Oryzias latipes: one gene and its partners. The protein of the gene in region 1 binds, or shares a complex with, the protein of each later gene. Links are inferred from orthologs where the notes say so. Each region holds a gene or a part of one and is shown on either strand. Other genes may lie near its edges.

The links. The genes of interacting proteins can lie anywhere in the genome.
Region 2: stx5 (region 1) and vamp7 share a complex: the UniProt entries of both Homo sapiens proteins name them as parts of the SNARE complex. The link is inferred for Oryzias latipes from reciprocal best matches to the Homo sapiens genes STX5 and VAMP7.
Region 3: stx5 (region 1) and stx7 share a complex: the UniProt entries of both Homo sapiens proteins name them as parts of the SNARE complex. The link is inferred for Oryzias latipes from reciprocal best matches to the Homo sapiens genes STX5 and STX7.
Region 4: stx5 (region 1) and bet1l share a complex: the UniProt entries of both Homo sapiens proteins name them as parts of the SNARE complex. The link is inferred for Oryzias latipes from reciprocal best matches to the Homo sapiens genes STX5 and BET1L.
Region 5: stx5 (region 1) and syntaxin-4 share a complex: the UniProt entries of both Homo sapiens proteins name them as parts of the SNARE complex. The link is inferred for Oryzias latipes from reciprocal best matches to the Homo sapiens genes STX5 and STX4.

What each region holds. Positions count from the first base shown.
Region 1 is NC_019868.2:11,883,470-11,888,417, forward strand, and holds the start of stx5 (syntaxin-5), read left to right. Parts: upstream 1-1,632; 5' UTR 1,633-1,651; intron 1,652-4,948. UniProt on the Homo sapiens protein: Mediates endoplasmic reticulum to Golgi transport.
Region 2 is NC_019868.2:26,863,141-26,867,394, forward strand, and holds the start of vamp7 (vesicle-associated membrane protein 7), read right to left. Parts: upstream 2,801-4,254; 5' UTR 2,581-2,800; intron 2,186-2,580; 5' UTR 2,151-2,185; coding exon 2,005-2,150; intron 1,898-2,004; coding exon 1,840-1,897; intron 1,715-1,839; coding exon 1,577-1,714; intron 1-1,576. Other genes in the region: DNA-directed RNA polymerases I and III subunit RPAC2, read left to right, coding at 3,264-3,302. UniProt on the Homo sapiens protein: Involved in the targeting and/or fusion of transport vesicles to their target membrane during transport of proteins from the early endosome to the lysosome. Required for heterotypic fusion of late endosomes with lysosomes and homotypic lysosomal fusion.
Region 3 is NC_019882.2:21,987,155-21,991,452, reverse strand, and holds the start of stx7 (syntaxin-7), read right to left. Parts: upstream 2,801-4,298; 5' UTR 2,786-2,800; coding exon 2,641-2,785; intron 1,582-2,640; coding exon 1,489-1,581; intron 1,387-1,488; coding exon 1,317-1,386; intron 798-1,316; coding exon 707-797; intron 620-706; coding exon 482-619; intron 1-481. UniProt on the Homo sapiens protein: May be involved in protein trafficking from the plasma membrane to the early endosome (EE) as well as in homotypic fusion of endocytic organelles. Mediates the endocytic trafficking from early endosomes to late endosomes and lysosomes.
Region 4 is NC_019864.2:3,547,362-3,551,570, reverse strand, and holds the start of bet1l (BET1-like protein), read right to left. Parts: upstream 2,801-4,209; 5' UTR 2,730-2,800; coding exon 2,711-2,729; intron 281-2,710; coding exon 195-280; intron 1-194. UniProt on the Homo sapiens protein: Vesicle SNARE required for targeting and fusion of retrograde transport vesicles with the Golgi complex. Required for the integrity of the Golgi complex.
Region 5 is NC_019877.2:19,255,879-19,259,993, reverse strand, and holds the start of syntaxin-4, read left to right. Parts: upstream 1-1,315; 5' UTR 1,316-1,477; coding exon 1,478-1,507; intron 1,508-1,843; coding exon 1,844-1,951; intron 1,952-3,317; coding exon 3,318-3,417; intron 3,418-4,115. UniProt on the Homo sapiens protein: Plasma membrane t-SNARE that mediates docking of transport vesicles. Necessary for the translocation of SLC2A4 from intracellular vesicles to the plasma membrane.

The DNA of each region.
Region 1 (4,948 bases):
CTCCAGTTAGTTATGTGTCCTAAACTCCAATTAAATTGTGGGTTATGCAACTTTAACCAGGAGTAGCCTAGTACTATGGGCGTATGAGTGGACTGGGTAATGAAAAATTGCATAACTTCCCTGTGGTTGCCAGAGGTGAGAAGTTGAACAGGTTTGGTTCTATGCGTAATTCTGGAGAGGTGCTGCCCTCCTAAGCCCGAGGCCTCTACAGGAGCTTCCAGAGGTTCTGTGGGAAGACCGAGTTTAGACACCAGACCATGATCAATTAGGCTCTGTTCGGCTCCAGAATCTATAAGTGCCCTGAAAGCATGAGTTTGGGTTTTACAGCATATTCTGACAGGAATGCACAGGAAGCTTTGATTTTCCTGAGTGCTGAGGTTGCCCCCCCGTGACCTGTCACTCAGCGGGGGGTTTTGGGAATTTAAACGCAGAGTGCACTGTGAAACTAAATGTCCATGGGCTCCACAATAAAAACATGAACCCTCCTCTTTTCGCCTCTGTCGTTCTTCTGCAGATAGTTTAGAATGATCTCTGTATAGGTCCCTCAGATGGTTTGGAGCTTGCGAGAAAATCCATTCTGAGGGGCGACTGGGCTGTGATGGTAGAAGGGGCCGGATCGCTGATGGTTTTCTTCGGGGTCTGTTGGCGATCATGACGTCGCTCGGTGAGTCGGATGTCCGAGCGGAGGGCTGCTGAAACGAGCTCTTCAAAGGAGTTAGTTTCAGGCTGAGTACAGAGATGGTCTTTAATTTCTTCATTCAAAGATTGATAAAAAATGCCCTTTAAAGCCAGATCTGGCCAGCCTGCTTCGACCGCCAGAATGCGGAGTCAATGACGTGCTCACTAACAGTCCGGTTGTGTTGTTTCAGGTTAAGTAATTTACGTGTGGCTTCTTCCCGTTTACGGGGTTGGTCAAAAATCAAACGGAATTCGTTTAGGAAGTGTTCATAGCGAAGGTGACTAATAGGGTTAGCAGAAACAAAGGCTTGAGCCCACCGAAGAGCTTTCTTCCGGAGAAAATTTATTATAAGGGTGATTTTACTGATATCAGAGTGATAATGCCTGGGAGCCTGCTGGAATATGAGTTGGCATTGAAGTAAGAACCCGCCACAGGCTTCTACGTTGCCTAGGAACGGTTCAGGCTGTAACCGGAAGTTTTCGGGTGAGTTGACAGGACCGGAAGCGGAAGCTGCATTGTTGCCGGAAGACGGAGTAGAAGCTCCTATAGCAGGGTTAGCATGTCGCTCGGTTAGCTCGGAAAGCGTTTGGTTCATACCTCTGATGCGAGAGATCGTGTCCTCTTGGACTGTAGTGACGCGGGTGACCGCACTGGAGAGGAGTTCCAGGAACCGACCTTGTTGGGAGACAATATTTTGTAAATCTTCCGGGCCAGCTGGGTCGGGGTTTTGGCTAGTTGTTCGTTCTGTCATGACTTGTCAAAGCTAGACAGACCCAGACGCTGAAACCCAGAAGGAAGACAGGAGGTGAGTGAAGGTAAATAATAGATTTAATTTTTCCAGCGGATGAATTTGTCCTGTTGTGGCGGGGAATGGCAGGAACGGCAACTCCAGATGAGAGGGTGGATCTTGACGTGGCTGGAGGTTCGGCTGAGGCCAGAGCTGAGGCCTGATGTATGGAGCGTTGAGAGGAGGTAGGTAACTCCGGGGATAACTCCGCTTGGGCTGAAGCTGAAGCTGGCGTCCACTCGTGGGATATGTAGGTCCTGGACATAGAAAGACTAGAGTTTAGACGAGGGTAAAGATACGTAACAGGAAAACTTGAAAGAGACCAGACAAGCACCATCAGGGGCAACGAACTAGCGTTGAATTCTGGTCCTGGCGCTCCTTAAGTAGGTCTGGCAGGTTGATGAGATGAGTGAACGCAGCTGGGACGAATCAGTGGCCAAGCAGAGAGGGGAGGGGGAAGATAGCTGACAGAGGCCCCATGACAAGGAGTTCACTAAAATTCACCTCTGAGCTTTTGGCAGGACTGTTGGCATGAAGTAAGCCTGCCCTGACATCATCCCTTTGTTTACACTCTCTCCCACTAGCCTACAGCCCCTCAGAACCCCAACCTAACATTACAGATGCAACAAAAATGGCGAGCAATATCGAAACTATCCTGCCGTACAGTTTTGAGCCAGATCTCAGCTCATACAAGGAAAATGAAGGCGGAAATAGATCTAGTCGTCTACAAGTGGATGCATCAGAATAGAGAGGAGCTCAGAGCTTGTGGCCTGCCAATTGTAGCACCTATGTCACTGCTTCAAGCTTTTTCCAACAGCATTTGTTTTATCTGCTCCTGATTCATAACGATTTGAATAAAGAAACACTCAGAAATGCAGTTTTGATCTTAATTTTCTTCATAGATGTCAAAAAAACGCCACAAGAACATGTTAAAAACACCCAAATCAGGATTTTTATTGGAGTGGGTCTTTAATGTGAAGCACAACTGACTACTATATAATTATTGGACGAATACTGATATAAAAGTTAGGCTCAATCATTTTTTCTGACATATTATTGACATATATACTATTTAATACCATAAAACAATCCAAAAAGCACACAAAGGGAGATTTTCTGAGTGGTTTAAAGAAAGGTGTGACATATGATGGAACGGATAAGGGAAGGTACGACGGTACAGGGTTCAGACGGGTGGAAGGCTGGGGATCTGGGGCTGGAGGCATACTTGTGGTCTGAGCATGCTTGGGCCTGTCAGAAAAAGGATGCAGGTACCAGCAGGAGGTTGAGAACATCAGAGAGCAGCAAGATCGTATCTTTCTCTTTCCATGCTGTACCTGAGTGTTGAATCACCTGAGGAAGCAGCCCATCCTGTCCTTGTCCAAATGTCTGTTCTGTCTTTTTGCTGGGAAAGATTCAAAATGGGTCTTTCAATTATAAAATTTCATGTCATTGGTACATGAGGTTTGCTTTTATATTTCTTATTTTTATTTCATTATCAGTGTTTTGCCAATTAGAAAGACATTTTGTTTGAAAGGGCATAAGAACAAAAACATGAAGTCATATTTACAACTTTTTGTAAATGCATCCTTGACATACTTATTGGAACTTCATTTAATATGTAAAACTTATACACACATTCTACTGCCAGGATGCATCTCAGAAATTGCTGAGATTACTAAAATTACCAAATATAGCCAATTAGTCTCTAAATCCACTTATTCCTGTTCAATGCCATCGTCTACCCAACCACTGAGGAGGGAAGGTAGAGTACATCCTGGACAGTTTTCCAGTCCATAGCAGGGCAACACGGAGACAAACAACTACAAACGTTCACACCCAAGGGACTATTAATAACCACCAATTGACCTACGAAGCATGACTTTAAACTGTGGGAAGAAATCAGAAGAAACCTACGCATAAACGAGGAGAACATGCACACTCCACACAAAAAGGTGCAGCAGGGTTTTGACCCAGAGCCTTCTCCCTGTGAGATGAGAATGGCAACAACTACGCCAGCACCACCAACGTATTAGTAATAAATATGACACCTATTTTTTTATAAACGTCTTAGAAAAAATACAAAAACAAAGCTTGTGTTTAGGCCCCACTACTTATTGGACCGTTACAAAGAAATGGATAAACATAACGTTTGAAACGTGTCCCTTAACTCAATGCTTTCTTAACTCGAAATAAGTAAAGTGAACTGGGTCCCTATTATTTTTTATTGTTTTATTTATATGTTTTATTGTTTATTTTAATGCTATTTTAAAGGCCTAAAAAGTATATAGAAATCACAAACATGTCATAACATGTATTTGAGAACACGTGTTGAACTTCAAGTCATGTCTGAAGAATACCAAGGAGAGGACCAAAATAATTTTGATCCATTAAGATAATGAATGTTTTTATAACTTGGTTCTTTGTGTTGTTTACATTTTCTGCACTTTTAAAGTCCCACTCCAATCATCTTTTGATCTATTGTAAAAGGGTTCCCAGTGGTATTTTAATTATGATTATGCCGTTTTTAGCCCCCAAAAAAACCAACGTTGTTTTCTGGAACATGGTTTCTGCAGAGCCAGATGTCAGCTCAGTTGAGGAAGCCAAAGACGCACTTGTATATAGTTATCTGCAAGTGGACGCATCAGAATGGACCAGAGCTGGAAGCTTGTGGCCTGCTGATTGTAGCACAACTACAAGCTTTTTCCAGTGGTATGTTTTCATCACCTCCTGGTTCACATTTGAATTAAGAAGTACTCAAAAATGCGATTTTAAGCAGAATTTTCTTTTGATATGTTCTTCAGCATTAGAAAAATGCCACAAAAACATGACTTAGGCCTTATACAACACATGTAAAGCAAGGCAATTTCATTTGCATATCGTTTTATGCAAACAAGGGAAATTAAAAATGCTTTGCAGAAATAAAATTGTTTTAGCTACATACAGCAAAGTAAAAAAAAAAAAACTATGTTTAAACTGGAACTTCAATCAAGAAACAGTTGGTTAACATCTGAGTTCACCAGGAGGTTGGTTCTAGGGATGGGTACCGTGCCCCGGTACTGAACCAGCCCCGGGGCCACATTGTTCAAGACCGCAGTATCGTTAAGATCTGACCTGAACGGTTCTGCTATCGGTACTGGAGAAGTTACTTTTTCTTTTCTTTTTTGTGTCCCACAAGTGTTATCTGCCATATTTAACTCACCAAGTCAGTCAATTTTCCGTTAATTAATTATGATATTAATTTTGGTATTCTCGTTGAAGCGGGGGCGGGGCTGTTTTTCAGACAGCACGCGCCGCGCGCGCACACACACACACAAGACAAGGCAGCGCACACACAGTCAGTGGCGATCTCGTAGGGGACACGTGAGCGCCCTAGACTAAGAACACCCGTTTCTGCGTAAAATTAATGAAGTTTGCATCAAGGAGCCCCTACCATGCTGTCACCTTGCTGCTACGATGACCGTATGTTGCGCTGTCTGTGTAGA
Region 2 (4,254 bases), about 15 Mb from region 1:
CCTCATAAGATGTGTCTGAGATTATTCTCTGTAATATTTACAGAGATATTTTGCCACAAGCCACTTTGTAAAAAGATCTGTGGCTGTTAGAATGAACCTGCTGCTCCACACGAGTGAACCGTGTCTCTGAGCAGAGCAGCTGGAGTCTCGTAGCTTCGTGTTCGCAGGCTGGGAAGCTGCTTTGTTATAGTGTGCGGTCCGGAGAAGAGTTCAGAACGCAGTCTGTTCAGCTGCAATGCAGTTAATAATAATAATATTTAGGGCTACATGTCATGAGGAAAACTTAATATTGCGGTGACGATGTAACTTGGGGTGTAGGAAAACAACCAAAAACATCATTTCTATTTCACTGCAACAGTTTAAAAACTGCATTGCAAATGACCAACATCTACATAGGAGACGAACATCTAACACAAAAGGGCTCCATCCGATTGGTCAAAAACATAAAAGGGATTATTTTTGCTTCGTTAAATACTGCCATCAGATTGTTTTAGCATACTTAAGGTAACCATTTATTGCGATCTTCGCCGTCTTTTGCAATATGCATATTGCACAGCTTGATATTGCGATAACGATAAATTTGCGATATATTGTGCAGGCCTAATCATAATATTACCAAAAGCACGTTTAGAAGATAATCTTTCTCTGTGTCGGAGCTCTGTATGTTTACAACGGACCGCATAATATCTTCTTCTATGTTAGTATCGTAATTTATCCAGACCAATCACTATCTGATATTGCGATGACGATATAACTTGTGGTGTATGAACAAAGAGCAAAACAACCTAAAACATCATTTCTATTTCACTGCAACAGTTTAAAAACTGCACGTGATCGGACCAACAGACATCCAATCACATAATGTGACGTCAGCACTCTTCGAAGGACCCCGAACGGTTATTGCAGGCCGAATGGTTATGGTACCTACACCCCACAGGAACACTGAAAATCTGCACTCATTTTTCCTTTAAAAACAAAAAAAAACTTTTTACTCCTTCGACCATATCACTTCGATATTTGGTGGAAAATAAAGGACAATGTTTTTTTTAACACTAACACTGGAAAACCCTTGCTAATAATACATTAGAGGTTCAGATATTTGTCTGTCCTCAAATACCAAACATCCCTAAAACAGCACTTCCATGAAAATTCTTAATAAAGACAGATAATTGTATCTCTATGCTGCACAGGTCAGGAAAATGTTCAGATATAATTCAAATGATACAGATTCAAATGCAGCAGACAAAGGTTGACTTTAAAACGTACTTAAAATGCCAGAGTGGTCATGTGACCATCTGCTGATCTTTTTGTACATGCCACGATTGTAGAGAAGGAAGTTGAAACCCATTTGTCAATATGTTGACTATACAAAGCTGAAATTGACATGAAAAGGGTTTTTTTTAAAGAAAAAGGACGTTTTTAACTACTCTGGGGGAAAAACGAAACTAAAACCAAAAGAAATAGGAAAAAAAATAGAAGAAGTTTGCTTTTCTGGTTATGACTAAAGCAAAAGTCTTTTTCTTCTTCTAAAAAAAGTCATATGGCATTCTAAGGAAATCTGTCACGCTCAACCCACCATCTGAGCCGCCAGCGTTGAGGAGAATTCACTGTTCATGGCGTAGGGAAGGGCGGTTTGAGCTCTGGAGCCATACGTCGTCTGGAAGCGCTTCTTGACTTCGCCAAGAAAGGTAAATGCACGAGATCTTTCAAAGTCCTTTAACAGAAAACATTCAATCACGATAAATGCAACTACACGTATTTAAAGCTTTGTGCCAGTGTCACATCCTTCCCAACTATTGCTGAACATCAAAACAAAATAAAAAGTCCAAAGATACTCACATCATCAGTGATGCACAAGTATATGATTCTGTCATGGCAGATGTAATGAAAGAGGTAACTGAAAACAAAATAGAAACACCATCAGTTACACGTTCCCAGAAACTAGCCCTGATTGTGGGCAAAATAATGACAATTATTGAGATGAAGGAGCAAACTGGACCGTACCTGCCGTGGCTGTAGGTCAGTTTGTTATTCTCTGAGGGGATTTTGGCTAAAATTTGTTCTGTGACTTCCAGGAAGTTGCCCCCGCACCAAGCATGTTTGGCCAAAATCGTGGTTCCACGAGCCACCACAGCAAACAGGATTGCCATGGTAACACAGCTGGGTTCTCCGCTACGTTAGTTTTCTGTCAAATAAACAAGGAAAGGAATAAGCTTTTTGTTGTTGTTGTTTTTTGGTAGGTGGAGCTCAGGTAAAACAAAAATGCCCCCACCCGCCTTCCCTCCCTCCCACCGGAATTCCGTTAAGATGAGTTAGAAAGAAAAGGAAAAAAATTGTGTATTGTAGACAAAAAAATACTAAAAACGATTACACCCAACATCCCTATGCGTGTTATTGTGGTATAAATCATTGGGAAAAACAAAGACTGATTCGGCAGCAAGCTAGCGTAGTAAGTAATGTTGAAATAAACACGGAACAGTGGTGGCGTCAACGAAAAGACCAAAATGTTAATCAAAGTGTCAGTTCAAGTTTTTGTTTGTAAGTTAAACGTTGTTGCAAAAAAACAAAACAAAACGATACCTTAACGTGTCAGCGCCACTCAAACGAGCTAATTATTTTCCCACATTTATAATGTGTCAGCTGCTAGCAAGCTAGCTAATCCCTTTCGAGTGACTTCTGCTTTGCGGATCCTTTGGACCGGAAGCACACACTGACCAACGCTGGGTAATGTAGTTCTTTTTTGCAATTTCTTTCACAGTGAATGCTGCTCTTCTACCATTCTGAACTACACTTCCCTAAACTACAAATGACGATGTGTCTTCGTCATATGTTTTCATGCGTAAGAGCAACTGTTTAGGAATTCCCCTCAGTTTAGCCTTAAAGGCTACGATTACACGCTAAATTGAATGCATTTGCAAATTAAATGTTAAGGAATGTTACTTTTTAGCGCAGTGAAAGGTAGTACTTCATCACCAACCTAATTTAAGTTCGATCCGTTTATCTTTTCTTAATTGCATGTTTTGTATGTCTATGTTTAACAAAATTTATTTGTGTCATCACTTCAAATCGACATATCTCTTTATGGCAGACTAAATAAAACATTTATTCTTAGGGTTGTAGTCGGAATAAATGTCCAACCAAGCGGGTTCAGTTATTAATGAATAATAACAGCATGGCGACACTTTCATTTTCAGCCTGTAAGTCAAAAATAAAGGGGAAGAAACACAAAGCTCATACTTTGCAGTGCGAGCGACGTGAAAAGCATGGCCGGGGATGGCGAGAAGAAACCCAAACTGGAAATGGTAAAATAAGAAAATGTCGTTTTGTTTGATCAGTTATTTAGATACTTAACTGTATATTGGTTAAAGTTTGTGTAGGTGAAATATATAATAACACATCGAAGAAGCTAATGCTAGCTTTCTCCACCGCCCGGCTGCAGACTTCACGTGGAAGATGAAGTGTCTGTTCATAAGAAAATCCCTTTTACTCGTATATAAACATTTTTTGTTAATTTATATTACTTAAAAAGAAACCAAAATCATGTTTTATTTGATAAAACTGAGCTTATATTTTAGTGTGTTACTACATGTCATTGTTTACTTGGTCAAAATCCTGCGATGTCTTTTATCCCCACTAGGGGGCAGTATTTTAAAACAAGCAGTGTTTACTTAAGATTTGTGAACTAAAATGTACTTAAACGTTAAAAATATATATATTATAGTCCCACAAGTCCCTACTAAACAACTGATTTTTGTTTTTTGTAATTTATATTAAAATAAAAAAGTTAAACGTCCATAGTCTCAAAGATCACTAAAACAGAGAAACAATATTCATGGAGTACAAATTAATGTATGTAAACACTGTTGTAGGAGGAATATGGCTCTCAATTGTATTTTTTTCAGCAACAAACCCACTAAAATGTTTCAAGATTCACTTATAGTGGTCTACAGAAGGATGATAATAATAAGCGACAGCTCAAAAACAAGGGTAAAAACCTCTAAAAGAACAGCACCAGCAAAAATAAAGCCACAAATCCCGACTACAACCCAACAGGAGCCACAAAGTCCTACTCCACCTTTTAGTAAAATAGGACTCAGATTTGTGTATTTGTGGTATTTCTACTGTTGTGTTAAACCCTAATGAATTTTTTCGGGGCATGAATAAAAAACATAAGGACAAATGAGCCTCTTTTTCTAAATACAAAATATTTTACACCCTTTGACAGAGGTTCACATGACGTCCTTTCAAAATAAA
Region 3 (4,298 bases), on another chromosome or scaffold:
GACAATGCCTGTTCTTACTTTATGGAGATGTTTGAATGCCAGCAAGAACCACAACCATCAATGAATCAACATAAAGAGATCTGCCCCCCAACCAGCGGAAGGCTCATGCTGGGTCTGGAACAGGCTGGGACAGGTGCATCTGCTCACCTGACCATCTGAAACATTTCCTCACAGCGCTCACACTCACCCACTCCATCCTGAACACGCCTATAAACCCAGACACACTGTCACTGGAAGAAGCTTTTCTCATTTCCTCAGCTGGAGGGTTTCATCTGAATAACCTGTCTACGTCTGAACGTTCAGCCAAACTCTGAGCAGATGGTACATTATGGCCCAGAACAGCTGAAACCGGGAAACCATGGCAGTGTTGTTCAGAAAGAACCCGGATGGTCCTGGTTGTGGAACGTGTGAGTATGAGGTGAGCGTGCACGGAAAGCTCTCGCTCACAGCACTCCCAGAAATGACGAAGGCGAATACGAACCGACAGCCTGGAGCCAGCTCGGACTCGGGCCACGAACTCCCGCTCCTTGTCGGCGGCCTGCCGTTGGGTCTTCTGGAAACTGTTCAACGCAGCAGAGAAGTCATTGAGCAAACGCTCCTTCTGCAGCTTCCTCTGCCTCTGAAAACACAAACACAGCTGATCAATTCCCACAAACTCCTGACCGGGTTCGATGTGATCGGTGCGTGGGACGAAGGGGCCTCGTACCTGATCGGGACCGACGGGGAGGGCGGTGAAGGCCTTGATCAGCTGGTCGGTCTCCTTGGCCAGCTGGTTCCCCTGCTGCTGTTTCTGCTGACTGAGAACCAGAGGGAAGCATCTGTGAAACGTTTCACTCGAGGAAACAGAAATCTTACAAATCCATTACTCCTGACGTGGAAAATGCTCGGGTTTCAGGAGCTAGCTGAGTACAGAGTAAAAAAAAACTATTCTAAAGGTTGAAAACTACTTTTTGAACCTTAAACCCACTGAATGGAACTGTTTTAAAACAGGGACAAATGATCCCATTCAAGTAAAACACTGTTATAAGAATAGAACTTACTTTAGTAACAACCTGCATCTCCAATGTGTGTATATGAACATGTATGTGTTTAGAACATCTTTTTAAAGTTATCTTTCTGTTTTGATGAATGAATTAGATGCTAAAATAATAAAGACAGTCTGCTTCCTGCCATTCAGGAGTCTTTACAAATGAACTGACTGAAGGAACAAGGGAAACGTATGTGTGTGTGTGCATGGTGACCGTCCACAGACAGGCCGGCTGTCGGTTTGAACTCATTTGGCTGCATGTGTGATCAAGCAGGCGGTCAGAACTCACAGCGTCTGTCTGAGCTGGCTGCTGTCCTGCTCCGTCCCCAGCAGGGTCACGGCCCTCTGCAGCTCTGAGGCTGGAACACAGATCCATGAGTGAGGATGCTGGGGGTCCAGTGGGGTTCAGCATGTGCACAGGTCTGTGTGGGTGTGTGTGTGTGTGTGTGTGTGTGCATTACTCAGTAGTGTGATCCTCTGGATGTTGGAGCTGATGTTCTGAACCAAAGCGGCGGGCTCCCGTTGAATCCCAGCCTGGTAGGCCATGATGAGAGCTGAGTTCACACAGAAAGACACATTTATGTCTTGCTTTCATACAAACTGCATGTTTAACCTTTAAAGTCCCCCAACCATCATCTTATGATCTATTGTCAAAGTGTTCCCAGCGGTCTTTTCACTACGATTCTGCTGTTTTTAGACTAAATCAGAAAACGTTGTCGTTTTCTAGGACATAGTTTCTGCGGACTGGGAGTAATTCATTAGAAATTCCCCTCTAAGGTGTGGGCGGGACTGTTGGCGAAAAGCACAACACCCCCCCTTCCCGTCATCCATCTTTTTACAACTCTCCCCTGCTAGCTTACAGCCCCTCACAACCTCAAGCTAATATTAGTGATGCAACAAAAATGGTGATCAACATCAGATCTATCATCCGTCCAGTTCTGATCCAGATTCCAGGTCAGACCAGGAAGACAAAGACGTTCACGGATCTGTTTGTCTGACAGATCAGAATAGAGCAGAGCAGGGAGCTGGTGACCTGCTGATTGTAGTTTACGTAACAACTAAGAGGTTTTTCAAACAGCATTTTTTCTTCTGCTCCTGATTCACAACGATTTGAAGAAAGAAATACTCAGAAATGCAGTTTTAAGCTTGATTTTCTATATATATGTATGTCCTCCATCATTAGAAAATGCTACAAGAACATGTAAAAACACCACAAACACCATTTTCATTGGAGTAGGTTTTTAACTAGCAGGACGGGTGCTGGCAAAACCCAAACCCAAAACTGTTGTCAATCAGGAGCAGACAAAAAAAGACTGTGATGAAGACTAGTGATGTAGAAAATACTCTGGCCAGGCCAAAGTGTCCCTGCCCTGCTCCATTCTGATGCCCCCACCTGCAGACAAATAGATCCATGGACAGCTCCAATATTGAGCAGCATTCTTGTGGTGCCGCTAAAGCTATGGATGACGGGAAGTGAAGGTGGGCTTACTCTGTACCAACAGGATCAGGAGGGAAAACTACACCATCATCAGCGTTTGTCTGACATAAGCATCAACAGTCTGAGGTCAAACCAACGTTTTGATAACAAATGGAGATGATGGAAACTTCCTCACAGCTTTGAGTGATGGAGGCAGTGAAAACACAAAGAAGGAAAGTTGCTTTTCCTCTCAGAACAAATCCTGAAACTCTGAAACGCTGAAGGTCAGAACCAAAGAGCTGCTGCAGCAAACACCAGCCCAGCTGACCCCTGACCCCCATCCATGCTGGACCAACGTGGGCTCATGCCCAGTCTGCTCTGATCGGGGGCCAGTTGGGGGGGGGGGGGGGGGGCGTTGACGCGGGTCAGGCAGTTGCTCACGCGCGTTTCCGGGACCAGCGGCGCTCCAGCGTCTGCTATGATGACGCGTTTTTAGGACCCCGTCAAGACCCCCTCCGCCGTGCGTTACGGGGCAGCCTGCCGCCTGCAGCGGTCGGTCGGTGGGGCTGCAGTCTTTCCAGCAGCCGCAAATGCGGAAATCAGAGGACTTTCTCGGAACACCACGGTCTGTGTCCTTCCGTGACGGCTGCTCTCTCCCGGAGTTTCTGTTTATAAAACCCCGAACTTTAAGCGTCAACGTGACGTTTAGCTCATGAAACTACCGGTCTCTACACAACTGCCCCCCCACCCGCCCCCAGCCCGGTTCGGGACATCTCGCCGTTTGTCCTCAGAAAGTGAAGCGCTCCGAAACCCGCGGTAGGATTTTGGATCGAGACCAAAACCTGCTCTAGAACGGTTCGGTTCGTTTCTGGGATCGTTTGGACTTTACCTGCGCTGAGACTTGGAGCTGCGCCGTTTCCTGACTCGCAGCCACTCCCCGGTCACATGACGCGCACGGCCCGGCCCCGCTGGAGCCAAGAGCCGCAGGAGCCGCAGGGGCCAGGGGACACTCCCACCAAAGACTGGAGACAAGGCTTCAGGGTTCTGCTGCGCCCCGGTCCTTTAGGATGGAAACGAGTCAACTCCACAAAAACAAGTCATAACATTAACAATAAAGGACTAAAACATAGTTTCAGCGCGCTGGAGCAAAATGATGTTTATTCAAAAAATATGACAGAGTCTGAAGGCCACATATTTGAGAAGGAGGGGGGAAAGGAGACAGAGGTGGAGGTCTTCCTCATGTTAAGGTTTTCCTCATGTTGAGGTCTTCTTCAGGTGGAGGTCTTCCTCATGTTGAGGTTTTCCTCAGGTGGAGGTCTTCCTCAGGTGGAGGTCTTCCTCATGTTGAGGTTTTCCTCAGGTGGAGGTCTTCCTCAGGTGGAGGTCTTCTTCAGGAGGAGGTATCCCTCAGGTGGAGGTCTTCCTCATGTTGAGGTCTTCTTCAGGAGGAGGTCTTCCTCAGGTGGAGGTCTTCTTCAGGTGGAGGCCTTCCTCAGGTGGAGGTCTTCTTCAGGTGGAGGTCTTCCTCAGGTGGAGGTCCCCTGCAGTTCTCTCCCCTTTGGACCCTTCGTCTCCACTCAGTAGAGGAGTGGAAATCTGGATCACAGACATAGGAGGAAGCAGGACATGAACCTGAAGCGTCGTGGAAGCAGCAGCAGGTCTGTAGGAGGCAGCAGGTGTTTATCCACATATAGAATATATATCTTTGCACTATCTTTTTCCAAACTGGCAGATCAATGACATATTTGTATTCGTCAACAGCAACATGCAACTGTGTTGTATTACAGACTCATTCTTGCTCTGTAGCTGGAATATGTGGAAGGGCGCTCATGAGCTCCCTGTCCTGGCTGGGCT
Region 4 (4,209 bases), on another chromosome or scaffold:
CACGAGAAAATGTTGTGGGATTTGGTTAAACTGCCGTGAATTGGTGCAATGGCAACATTGCGAAATCCTGTAAGGTCTGACAGAAGCATAAATGTATAAACGTATTCGTCTCTCTGCTTCCATTCAAGCTACAAATAGAGAAATAAAAGTACATCATCTTCAGGAATCTGCAGAAATGTTCTAGTTTGACTCACAGATTTCAGTCTGGAGACTTTGGTGGCCAGGTTCTCAGCCAAACGTTTGTTTTTAGCATCCAGCATGTCATCCACTGAGTCATGATCTGAAAACATACAAGATGAATTAAAAGTGATTTGTTTTAGCCAAAGGTTTTACATTTAATCAGACATACACATTAAAAACTTTTGTCAATAAAGCCCAATTTAAAAGAAGCTACACGTGAATGGGTTTAAAACAGACCTCAAGTTTTGCTTTCATTCTAGCTGCACTTTTGAATGCTATGTTAAGATCTTTGATCACAGATTTACTGATGAGACTGTAGGAAGTACCATGACCTGGAGGAAACCAAAGAAAAGGTGATAGTTCACTCATGAGATATCGGCCTGCTGCTCCATCATCACTGAACACCCAAGCCAGGAATATTTAGGGGGGAATATAACTAACACCTTCATAAAAACTGGACTGAAGTGTGCCTGCAGAAAGGCTGTACTGACTGTACTGACTGTACCTGCAGTACTGCCGAGGAGCCTGTGTACTTTCAGGGAGGAGTCACTTCCGAGGACCTTTTTACTCTCTGTAATGGTACCAGCAGCCAGAAATGGTCTTTTTATTTATGATGATGATGATGATGTTTTTAGCCCAAATCTAAATAACTGTGTTGTTTTCTAGGACATAGTTCCTGCAGAGCGGTAGGAGTTCATCAGAACTTCACCTCTGAGTTGTGGGCAGAACTGTTGGTGCAGAGAAAGCCCGTCCTCATTTCCTATGATCCCTGTGATTACATTCTCTACTGCTAGCGTACAGCCGCTCAGAACCCCAAACTAATATTAGCAGTGCAACAAAAATGGTGAGCAATATCAGAGCTATCTGGTGTAGGTACCGTAACCGTTCGCCTGCAATAACCGTTCGGGGGCCTTTCGACTGAGGATACGGTAAATTACATTACACTTAAAAAATTTACTTGGCATGTATATATATTGCTAATACACATTAAGATTATAGTTAGAAAGCATAATTGGTTAAATATAAATGATAAAATATACATTTCTTGAGAGCACTAAAATTTGAATTTCTTTTTCTTTTCTCAAGGTTAGAAAGAATGTGACAGACTGTGCATTGACAGAGGATGACATTTCAAGCGCTGAAGAGATGGTTAAAGCACTTAAACCAATGCTTGTGGAAAAGAATCCAACCATTTCAATGATTGCTCCTCTTCATGCCAAACTGCTGTACAACTCAACTAGCACTGAAGAAGATTCTCCTCTGGTTCGAGAGATCAAGACCTTTCAAAGAGATATCAGTCTGAGGTGGAAAAAGATCTCCTACGCATGTCCTCAGCCCTAGACCCTAGATTTAAATCTCTTTTGTTTCTGCAAGACACGTCTGCAAAACTGAAGTCAAAAGCAGCTTTAAAGGAAGGGGATCCAGTGTCTTGTGATGACCTACAGGAGGATTTGGAGGATGAGGAGCCGCCACATTCCAGCAGCGACACCAGCACCACCAAGAAAAGAAAGTCTGCACGAGTAGATCTTCTGGGTCAAACCTTCAAGAAGACCTCTTATGCCTCTACAGCAGCAGCCTCGCAGAAAAAGAGGTCAAACAATATCAAGACGCCTCTTCTCTGCCTCTCACTGAAGATCCACTGCTGTGGTGGAAATCTCAACAGCATGTGTTCCCTCTGCTCTCCAAACTGGCCCATATGCATCTGTGGATTCCAGGGACTAGTGTGGTAGCGGTTATGGTACCTACACCACCTACAGCTTAGATCCAGAGTCCAGCTCAGAGAAGGAAAACAAAGACAGAAGATGGATCCATTTGACTGACAGGGGATGAATCAGAATGGAGCGGAGCAGGAAGCTTGTGGCTCGCCGATTGTAGCTCCTACGTCACAACTACAAGTTTTTTCAAACTGCAATTTTCCGTCTGTTCCAGATTAACAATAGTTTGAATAAAGAAACTCAGAAATGCAATTTTAAGCTTACTTACTTTTCTCCATAATGAGAAACAATGGCACAAGAACAAGTTAAAAACACAATTTTCATGGGAGTGGGTCTTTAAATACTGAGCAGAAACTCGAATGAGAACCAGAACCACAGAATTTCAGGTTAAACCAAAGTTACCGACGGACATGAGAGATTGTAATGTCATTTCCGACCATAGTATTACTAATTACACGGATTCCGAAAAAAAGGAAATTTGTTTATCTAAATAGGAACCAAAAGATGAAAAAATAGAGTGAAACTTGAACATTTATTTGAAAAAAAATCCCTCAGAACTTAAGGTGGTTTTATGTAAATAAACGAATTTGTTGACAGCTCAAAGTTAGTTCACTTCATGATAGCTACACTGACTTGTCAACAGCTAACTAAACTACTGTTAGCTCAGAGTCAGACGCTCCACATTTCCGGTCGTAATCTAATCCGACTTTATTTCGCTTTAAATACTCCCTCCGATCTACGGGACTCGTCTTATCCTGATTAAAACACCGAAGATGAACAAATATTAAAAAGTGAATACGTGTTCGGTTTCCTACCTCTGTCCCAGCTCGCCATCTTGCTTTGTGACGTCACAGTCAGCTGCCCGGAACACGTGACTACGACACGTTATCAGTTCTGATCCTGAAGGAAACGGAACAGGTTGAAATGAAAGTTTAATCCAGAACCGCATAATTTATTAATGTTCTCTGCTTTCATCGGGATGAAAAACACAATTTATATAATTTCTTAAGATTCATTTTTTGTTTCTTTCTTACGCTCTATAGAACAATTCAAAGTTCCTTTAGTAAAAATTACTTGAAGTTTTTGTTACTTGAGTATGAGTATTGCAAGTGTACTGTAGACCATGTACATGTAGTGTAAGAAGTATACTAACTGAGTCCTTCTGAAGAAATGTGAACATTTTAAGTCTACAATGCATGGATATAAAAGTTTAAAGTATACTGCCTACCTTTTAGTGTAGACTAAGTATACTTGTAGTACACTTAAATACACTACTTTTTGCGAAGAGTTTGCTCTGGTAAATAACTATTTTATTTTCTATTGCGAGAAGGTAACAAATTAAAACTATAGACTCTAAAGTGAATTTTAGTCAAATCTAGGTCACAAGGAAGGAATAGTTATTTTAAAAAAGAAGTATTTGATTAAAAAAAAGATTTCTAAACACATCACTCTTGAACTGTTTACGCTTAAGCTAAGGCCCTTGTTTCTATTGATTAAATCTGTTCTTTTTTTAATTTAATTTGCTATGTTTCGTTTTAAATTGACTGCATTCTTCAGTTCTTGAATAACATTTTTGTTTACAAATCACACTTTTGAAAAACAATGAGCAGAAATACCTCGTTCACACCTTTTTAATCAAGCTTGTGCTTTTTCCTAATTGAAGTGTTTTGTGTTGTTGTGTTTACAGTATTGACAAAATGTCTTGGGTCTGGATGACCCTTGTTTTCTGGAAACTGTTCTGCTCTGGAACTCTCCTGTATGAATGAGAGTCCTCACAGAAATCATGTGTCAGCGGCTCAGCCGTGCTGGTTGTGTTCTTTGGGTATTGGCTTCATTGACCCGGCAATCCTCTCTCCACATATAGGGAGGGGGATCCTTGAGATTTCTAGCATCATCTGAGCCTGGTGGTGTTTGTGTCCCTGGTTCTGGTTCTGGTCCGTGCATTCTTGCTATGTAACTCCTCATCATCATCAACACCAGAGAGCCTGGTCGGTCCATGCTAACCATTTTTCGCAGGGATCCTTGTCTCTCGCTGGAGCCCTCTTCCTGCCTGGATCTGTGCTGGACTCCCCACAGGGCAGGGAGGTAGTTGGCTAGGCTGTGACATGAGTGTTTCTTGGGGGATGCAGACGCCTGGGTGTTGGTGGACGCCTGATCTGCGGCTGTGGGAACTCTCAGGTGGGTGTGACCTTGCGCTGGACCTTGTGCTACCTCTGGACTGGGTGGCTGGTGCCGTTTGTCTAGGGGGGCAGACCCCTTCGATCTGCTTCTCTGTGTGGGTGTCTGGGGGGTCACGTCTGCCCCTGCTGCCTTG
Region 5 (4,115 bases), on another chromosome or scaffold:
AAAGTAAAGCAATAAGATTTAATATATGTGTTAGAAAAATGTATATACCGGTAAGTTATCTCATATTTGCTTTTATGTATTACCTAGCTCTATAGGTAATATAATCATACATGCAGAAGTGTTTGTGTCCAAGTTCTGTTTCACAGGAAGGTGAAGGTGAAACTCTTGGGAGGAAACCGACTATCTTAGCGTCTTCCCAAGATCAGCATGAGAACTATGTGGTATCTGTGTCAAGACCGGAATCAAAGGACGCTCTGTGTCAGTTATCCGTGAGAAAAGGCTTTGCAGGTCCAAAGATGATGTGGGGAGACTGTGATAAGATGGACATGTTGCAATTAATATTTTCTGATGGCGCTGCAGTTGTGTTCAATCTGTCTTCCACTCCTTAGAGCTCAGCGCATGTGTAATTTAGGGAATTCCCAAAAAACTTAATAAAAGAGGAGGCGACAGAATATGTGAAAGAGTGGAGAGAGATTGTTGCTGGGTATTATCTCTGTTCACTCTTATTTTAACTCTTGTTTTAATTTTTAATTTGACAAAATGTTTGATTCATATTATTTTGTTCATATGTCAAATGAACAACAAAGTATTATGGCCACTATAAAAGCAGAAAAATTAACATTTATATATGAAAAAAGGTGTAAAATACAAAAAGTTTACATTTTAGAAGAACTAAGAAAACAATTACTACAAAAACGTCATGCAATTATCAAAAAGAAATTTTACAATTTTCAAGAATAAAGTCATATGTTTAAACTGTAAAAACTTGCAATTTTCAAAGAGATGTCATGCTTTTTTTCTTAAGTAAAGTGTTAAATTTAGTTTTTAAAAATTTTCAACTATGACAATTAAATGGTTCCTGTTTAAATGATGTTGCAGAGAAATTTGATGAATATCTATCACTTTGATTATGATTTTTTCTTTTTTGTTTTCTTTTTTGTAATTGCACAACTTTAGTTTCATGAAGTTATAACCTTAATTTAAAAAAACATGACTTTTTCCTTTTTAAATAATACATTTTCAACTTTATTTTTGGTAAATGTTGACTTTTTCCCCACAATTTTACGACTTCGTTCTCATATTTATATTATAATTTCATAATCATATTTGCTATTTATTCTTATTGTCAATAGTAATATAAAATAATAGTATATAATCATAAGTAATATAGTAATACTCTGTCAATTCTAATACTCCGTCGTACAAATATAGTATGGTTCTGGCTATTCCAATTGAATTAAACCAAAGCAGGTTTTGTTGCCTGTAGTAAAGGTGTCTGTCACAAGGGGGCGCCATCGATTAAATTCTGTTTGTTTGAACCGCAGAGGAAGAACTGTGAGAACTGTTGCTCTGGAGTTAAACTTGCTGAATGACAGCAGTGGAAAGTCCGCAGCTTTTGTTGCTTGGGAACCGTTGTCCTTCCTCGGCCGCGTGCTCGCAGCGTTTCCGACACCAACTCTGAACATCGACATCAAAAATGCGGGATCGAACAAAAGAGTTAGATAATGTAAGTTTTAAAGTTGGTGTGTTAGCAATAGCGTTAGCTTGCTAACCTAGCTGTATTGATTGTTTAAGTGAACTTTGAAATGCTTCGGTCTCTGATTATTTATTAACTGTAAGCCCGCATATGAGAGCAAAACAATATACCCCCCCCCCCCCCTTATTTTCTACGCTTGGAAGCACTTGTGGCGATATTGCTTTGCTAACGTCCGCTTGAGTTCTTCCTCCAAGGAAGCTGTCAGGCCGGGATAAGGGCAGGGCTCCCGGCTGCAGATCTGAACCGGCACCTTCACACAGCTCTGTTTCATCCTCCTCTTGTGTGTTTCTGTCCACCTCACCGCAGAAAGCCGAGGCCTCAGATGAGGAGAACGAGGAGAAAACGGCTTTGATGAGCAAACCTGGCAGCTCTTCAACAAAGGAAGATAAGGAGAATGAGGCTTTTTTCAAAAAGGTGATCATCCAAGTTTTCGATCTGGGCTCCTCCAAATGATTTGTAGTATTATCAGATACCGGATGTCCTGGGAAATGCTCCTCCAATGGGCCTCTGCTTCATGTTTATGAGACAGAGGACAGAGCTGAAGGTTTAGCTGTAACACACACAATTGTTTTGCCGACATTAAATTCTCCTCTAATCCCAGAACAAAAGGAAAGTAAATAAATATAAAAGGTCAACTATGAAGCTTTAAATATGAGTGAAACATTAACGGACAACAAACACTGGCCTGTATGTAGGGCTGCACTTAACAATATAAATAAAAGACTTTTAGTGGAAAAATGCAGATGTCCATAAAGTTTTGACATTTTAGTTGATTGTAGCCATCTTTAGTGTGTAAGACCTCCACTTATTATTTGATGCTACAGTTTACCAACTGTCCACGAAAGCAGCATTACTTTTACAGTGAGGGGAAAGAAATGCCATGTTTTATTTTGAAAATCTCTGAAAAGAAAGTTTAAATAAAGTGTCATAGAAGCTGCTATAAATTATGATCATGATGTTCAACTTGTTGCAAACTGTAGTTATAATGATCTAGAAGAGAAACATTAAAACAGAAAGAAGTAAAGAGAAGCATTTCCATATATTATCACGGTTTAACTTTTTAGGTTTTTTAAGTTTTGATTGAACTTTAATTGTTTGGAAAAAATAATTTCTATGCTAAGCATTTCCCCCCCCCCAAACAATAAAAGGGCTTTAGCAACAGAAATCCTCTTTTCAGGTTTTTATTTTAGTTTGGCTGAGTGAAAGAGTCAGACGGACACCAACAATAACACACAGTTGTTTATCCAACTGACTTTTTTCTCACATTAGAAAATCTTAGGATACTTTTTGTATCAGTTAAATGAAACATGTTCAAAGGTGTTGGTTTGTAATAATGGTGTTTCTATTTTCTCCAAATTTCTTTATATTTTTAAAATTCAGATGTTTTTCTTTGAGGGAGGCTGGAGTCAGATACCATCAAGATGGCAAAAGTTTCTGAGCATGTCTTTCAATCCAAACCATTTGTGAGGAAATCAAAATAAACTAAGTAAAGAGAGATGAAATCATAAAGTCAAGGCAGTTATGGATTTTATTTAAAGTCAAGGATCCATTATGATCTATAAACCTTGAGAAGATTCTAAAATAAGAGTCAGCAGAGGGATCTTTGTTCTAATATTTCCTTGGATTTCTTTTTTTTTTATACAAACACTGCATTTCCCAACCCATTAATTGAAGTTTTCTGATCAAAAAAGGTCAGGATGTTACAGTTGCAGTTAAAGCTGTTTGTCTGGGAAGATGATTTTGCCTGTTAATCCTAAAACTTTACAAACTTCTTTCTAAGGTGCAAGAAATCCACGAGGGGTTGCAGAACTTAAAGAGGATGGTGTCAGAGCTGGAGAACAAACAGAAGACGGTGCTGGGCGTGGCGCTGCCAGAGGAGAGTACGTCAACTTTATGAATTTGATAAATTCGTGTTGCATTTTGTAACAGAGGATCAGTGTAGTTGCACTTTAGGATTAGAACGACGTTTCTCCAGATTTTTCACAGGGATCCCACCAGAGTAAGGCGGGGCTAGTTGGGGGCGCCTTTCCAATCAGATTTTTAGGCTCAATGAGGGCACCAAATATGTTACAGATTAGTTTTCTCTATTGGATCGCAGTGAACATGTTTTTCTTTGTCGTCTTCTTCCAAAATGCAATTAAGGGAGCTCCTTTCATGAGGGTGTCTGATGCTTCTCTGCTGATCAATCAACTCCTGATTTAGTGATTTTTCTCAGTGGCAGATACTTTAGCACACAAAGGTGGTCAAAAATGAAAGGAATATAATAATAAAAAACAATTTTTTAAAAACATTTTTATGAATATCTCCTTGTACTTTGGTTTGTTTTGGGCCAAACACATGGCAGGAGCCCACAACTTGTTTGTACCGTCCAAAATGTCTCTGCTGGAGCTGTGAAAGAAATAAGAAATACAAACATAAATTCCTCCCTTCTCTCTGTCTTTAAATCCTAACGTTTACTCACAGTATCAAGACAAAAATAAATCATAAAAAAGAGGACAATTATTTTGACATTTTCAACACACCCTTCTTCTTTCTCTTCTCCTTTTTTGTTGTTTCTTTTTTTTTTGTGGTAAATGTG